2 linked regions of the Yarrowia lipolytica genome follow. The protein of the gene in region 1 interacts with the protein of each later gene in a pairwise test. Links are inferred from orthologs where the notes say so. Each region holds a gene or a part of one and is shown on either strand. Other genes may lie near its edges.

Region 1 (2,186 bases):
CCAAGTGGTAAAAAATTTGGGTTCTTTTCCATGTACGATAAATGCGCGAGTTGCTTGCTTAGTCAGATGGGAGTGATATGGGCCGAGGTAACTGCACGTGTCGGATGAAGTGAGACATTTATTTATTCCAATTGAACCACCCAGACGAGTCCGTTTATTTATTGCCTGCTTCGAATACAAATAGTGAACTCCTCTAAGTTGGTTGCTTTTCCCCGTTGGTTCTAGTGTGATGTTGATCGTGTTTGGGTTGGAGTATATTTGGTGGAATCGGTTTGGCGGCGGTTGGAGAATCTGGCGTGTTTGTGTGTCACGTGGTGTGTCACGTGGTATGTCACGTGACGGGATGTGATGATGAGAACCTGTGTGGTACCATGTGGTATCGTGTGGTTGATCTGTTATTCAGCATGATCTTGTGTGTATCGTAGACCTACTCGTACCAATACTCTCACAGCTAGGTGCGTGGTACTTGTTGTGCTCTTTTAATCAATTATATACATTGTCTACTGCAGCTTACTCTTGGCAGCAACGTTCTCCTTCTCCTCCTTCTGTCGACGCTCTTCACTGAGTCGGTGCATCTCCGCCTCCTGCTCCTTGGTCAATGGCTCGTACTCGCTCCAGGGATCGATGAAAGTAGAGTGACCTACAGCAAAGTCTCGATCGCTGGTCTTCTCAAATAGATAGAGCTGGGCCCGAACGTAGCCAACCACTCGCTTGATATGCTCCACGTCAACGTTGGGGTCTCCGTCAAACAAGTTTCTCCAGAGCGCAGCAGCCAGAACCGCATCGCCCTTGATGAGACCCTCGTCGTAACTGAGCATGGCTCCTCGCAGCTGCAGGTTGAAGTCCTTCATGTAATTTTGGATGATTCGGTTGCTGAGAATTCGAATCTCTGTGCTCAGCCGCTTCTCAATGTCGACAAACATGGCGTCCACTAGCAGCTGCTGGTACTCCTGGGCAACGGCAGGTGGCAGAGCTCGCATCCGCACAAACAGCATCCATTCGTGCAGAACGACAATCTGGAACCATCGCGCAAAGGTCATAGGCATTCCAAGCTCCTCGTACCAAAACTTGGCGGTCTCGGACAGCACCGGTGGCTTGACGGGCTTGACGGGCTTACGTCGATCCTTCTTGTTTTCCTCCTTGGAAAGCGGGTCTCCGAGATCCACAAGAGCCTGGGCCTTGCACAGGTTGTAGTAGTAGCCTCCGGCCACGGGAGCGGCTCGGAACTTGTCCATGTTGATGTTGAACAGAGACACAATGCCCTCTCCCACCTTTTGCTTCCATGTGTTGGGGGTGGGCGAAGCATCCTCGGTGAAAAAGGGCAGAGGGGCGTTCTCCTTCTTGCTGTAGCATCGCGCGGTCAGTGGTCGCGCCACACCAACCCGAACTGCTTGTCGAATAGCAGGTCTCAGCATTTTAATGATGGAATGTCCGACGGTGAGAATTTCAAAATTAGGTTCGTCTCCTACAACGAGTCAATATGCAGCAAATGGGAGATCAGTTGTTGTCGGGGCTTAGTCAGCGAAGATCTGGAACGGAACAAGTCATCGGAGCAAAGTTGTGGACAACAGGCAATTGTCTCAGTGGTGTTTATTTACAGAGTTTCAAGGTCTCAGGGTGTCCAGGAGGCTGTCGGGGGACGAGTCTTTCAACTGTATGAAAAGTACAGTATGTACATACATAGTGTCCATAGTCGTAAGAGAGTGTTTCAAATCGGTCATGTATGGATGTTTTTTCCGACAAAAAAGACCAAAATCTAAAGTGACACTCGCAAAACCTCCATTTAGCTATTTTTCGCAACTAAAACCCTTCCGCTTGACGAGTTGTAGTGCTCCTGTTCCGATGCTCGTTATTCTTAAGTTATTCTTAGGTCACGTGCACCTCGGAGTATGAAGAACTCTATATAGCTTCCCCGAGAAGAGCTCCAGGAATGTGGGACCTACTTGTACTGTACCACTGTATTCTATCGATCTTTAAACGGTGATGTACTAGGATACAAGTACACTACTCGTACCGGTACGACCAATGTTGCTCGAAATCACAGCTCCAAAGACACGTTTGTTTTAGACCAACTATAGCCGACCCCCCCCCCCCCCCCCCCCCATCCCAATTCTTGGAGACTTGTTGATTTGGTGTATCCTCGGTGGTATCAGATTGTGCAGAGGCTTACTACGGTTTTCACAATC
Region 2 (2,640 bases), on another chromosome or scaffold:
GCGACGAGATTGTGACCCGCCACCCGTACCCGCAAAAGACGTGCTTTGTGCCCTTTAACCACGTGTGGGTCGAGGGCGACAACATCCATTCGTTCGACTCCAACAACTTCGGTCCAGTGTCACTCGGTCTCATGCATGGCAAGTGTCCCAAGGTGCTGTGGCCATTTAACCGTTTTGGAGCTATTCCTGACGGAGGACGAGAGGCCCGGAAGGAAAAGTTGGGGTATGTTGATGATGTTGTTGAGGGCTAACTGCGGAGAGCGTAACGAGCCGTGGTTAGAAGCGACAAGCTCCATTGCAATCCTCTACCACTCAGAGACTGTATATATTTGCATTTGACGATTTGATGACTAATTTCAGTAAGTCATGATGAACCAATACTTGCGTAGGGTACTTTTGGACAGACAATACTGTAATGTACTGTAATGTACTCGTAGTGGAGATGGTTTCGATCTACAAGTACATACTGTAATGGAGGTTGAGGTAACCGTAGTTACATCCTCTTCCATGAAAGGCTTTGTACGCTCAGACAGGCTACACAGCATTCTCATCAGCCGTAACACTCATGAATTGTACACTATCGTCAGTAGTACAGTTGTACCCATATACAACATTTACTCCCACTCATACACACTACCCACTATCTGTTATCATATCGTTACTATATACATGACTCTTATATACATCACTCCTTGGGGAGCTTGTTAAGGAACTGGGCAGGAATGTTCTCCAGAATGTCCTGCTCGGACAGATCCAACTTTTTGTTCTTCAGAGCCTCCTCAAACACGGCGGCGGCGCCCATCTTCTCCTCCACAAGATGTTGCAGCACCCGGATGGCGTTCCAGGGAGCCACGGGCAGAGGGTTGGACTCTCGGTACTGTTTGATGTAGCTGAGGGCCTCGGCGACTCCCTCGGTGGTGTCATTAGCCAGGAACATGAGGTACTGCTCAAAAATGTCTCGCTTGGGCTGGTGCACAAAGCCGTGGTTGGCAATGGGATTGCCGTTCTCGTCGGTGGCTCCGCTGTATCGCTCGTACTTGAGCTTGGCACCGTACTTGACGGCCTCGATAATCTTCTCGTCCACCTGCACGCCAGCGTTGGCTCGGGGGTCGGTGGAGAAGCCGTAGTAGGCGACAAGGTGTCGCTCGAGCTCCAGAGACAGCTCGCTGTCGTAGACGGCGTCAGCAGTGACGTACTTTTCGTCAAATTCGGCGTTGGCCTGGGCTCGCACCTCGGGAAGCACCTGCTGGACCTCCTCAAACGCTCTGTATCGCTCGGCCAGTACGTGTCGAATGTTGACCATGGTTTCGCCGACTCGGTCATGCTCGCTTCTGTAACCACCGTTCTGGTTCTCAAAGTGCATTCGGGTGGTGACTCGTTCCTCCTTCAGAAGAATGTTTCGCTCCTTGAGACACACGTACCACAGAGCATGGAGATCCTCAAACGACTTTCGTCGCAGCTCGGCCACACTCCAGGGTCGCGTGCTGCTGTCAAAGCTCCGCTGATCCCGTACAATTTTCTTGTCCTTGCAAAAAAACTGCCACAGAGGATGCGAATCGGGTACCTCGATATTGTCCAGAGCAGGCGCAATAGGGGCCTTGAGCTCCAGCTTTTTGACAAACTCGTTGCCGGTCACGGAGCCGGGCAGCGGCTTGGGCCACTTCTTACGACCCTGTCGAACAGCCGATGTGTGTAGCGATCGGATCATGGTTGTGTATGTTCTGTTGGATACAGTCGTCAGTTGAAAAAATCGCTTGGGAATCTGGAACTTTATTCTCCCACAGGATTTCACCTCCCAAATTTCGCTCGGTAGGTGCTAGCAGAATAGGGTTTCATGTCATGTGACGCGTGTAGAGAGGATCAGTAATAGAAATGGTCTTCAGGGCACCTAATTGTTCATTAAAAAGATGTCAAGTCCTTAACATCTGACTTCTTTCAATGTCAGGACTTCCAAAACATGATGGTCCCTCTTCCTTGTGATGTTCGGCACCATATTCTCTCTCTACTGGTACAGTATGTAGTTATACCCACTCACATTTCTACCCACTACTAGTGCTATACTTACAGTCACCTGAAACGGTGTTGACGCTATATAGACCGACCACCATGCGACATACTAGACACCTATTAAGAGATCAGTTACACTAACGACATCCCCTGTTGCAACCACTACCTCCTATCATACCAATACCACATCGTCTTCTGCACATCCAGCTGCCACCTCTACACTCCTCCCAACCTACCCTAACCCCATACTCTCACCATCTCAGACACTAATCAGCATCTATCGACAGACACACCACACATCACAATGACCGACGTCGACACTTCAGGCGGCTCTGAGCCCCTTGATCTCATTGGTCTTTCTCTCAACGAGAACGTTTTCGTCAAGCTCCGTGGAGGACGAGAGCTTTATGGACTTTTGCATGTGAGTAGCAATGTGAAGGACAATGAGAAGATGGCAGGCAAGTCAAGATCGGTATGAATCGGATACATATCCACTGAACATGATACATGTGTAAATGTAATGTCTGTTGCTGTCCGCTAATGACCTGTCCTAGTCCATTCTGTTACTAACCCAGGCCTACGATATCCACTGCAGTATGGTGCTTGGAAACGTAGAGGAAACAGTCTTCGAGT

What was found. The genes of interacting proteins can lie anywhere in the genome.
Region 2: the proteins of YALI1_C25367g (region 1) and YALI1_B14680g interact in binary tests that used the Saccharomyces cerevisiae proteins (3 or more experiments, as listed by UniProt). The link is inferred for Yarrowia lipolytica from reciprocal best matches to the Saccharomyces cerevisiae genes CBP3 and MRPL4.

The regions. Positions count from the first base shown.
Region 1 is NC_090772.1:2,535,316-2,537,501, forward strand, and holds YALI1_C25367g (uncharacterized protein), read right to left. Parts: upstream 1,416-2,186; coding exon 501-1,415; downstream 1-500. UniProt on the Saccharomyces cerevisiae protein: Chaperone required for the assembly of ubiquinol-cytochrome c reductase of the mitochondrial respiratory chain.
Region 2 is NC_090771.1:1,466,315-1,468,954, forward strand, and holds YALI1_B14680g (mitochondrial 54S ribosomal protein uL29m), read right to left. Parts: upstream 1,709-2,640; coding exon 686-1,708; downstream 1-685. Other genes in the region: YALI1_B14658g (uncharacterized protein), read left to right, coding at 1-251; YALI1_B14686g (uncharacterized protein), read left to right, coding at 2,312-2,428, 2,583-2,640. UniProt on the Saccharomyces cerevisiae protein: Component of the mitochondrial ribosome (mitoribosome), a dedicated translation machinery responsible for the synthesis of mitochondrial genome-encoded proteins, including at least some of the essential transmembrane subunits of the mitochondrial respiratory chain.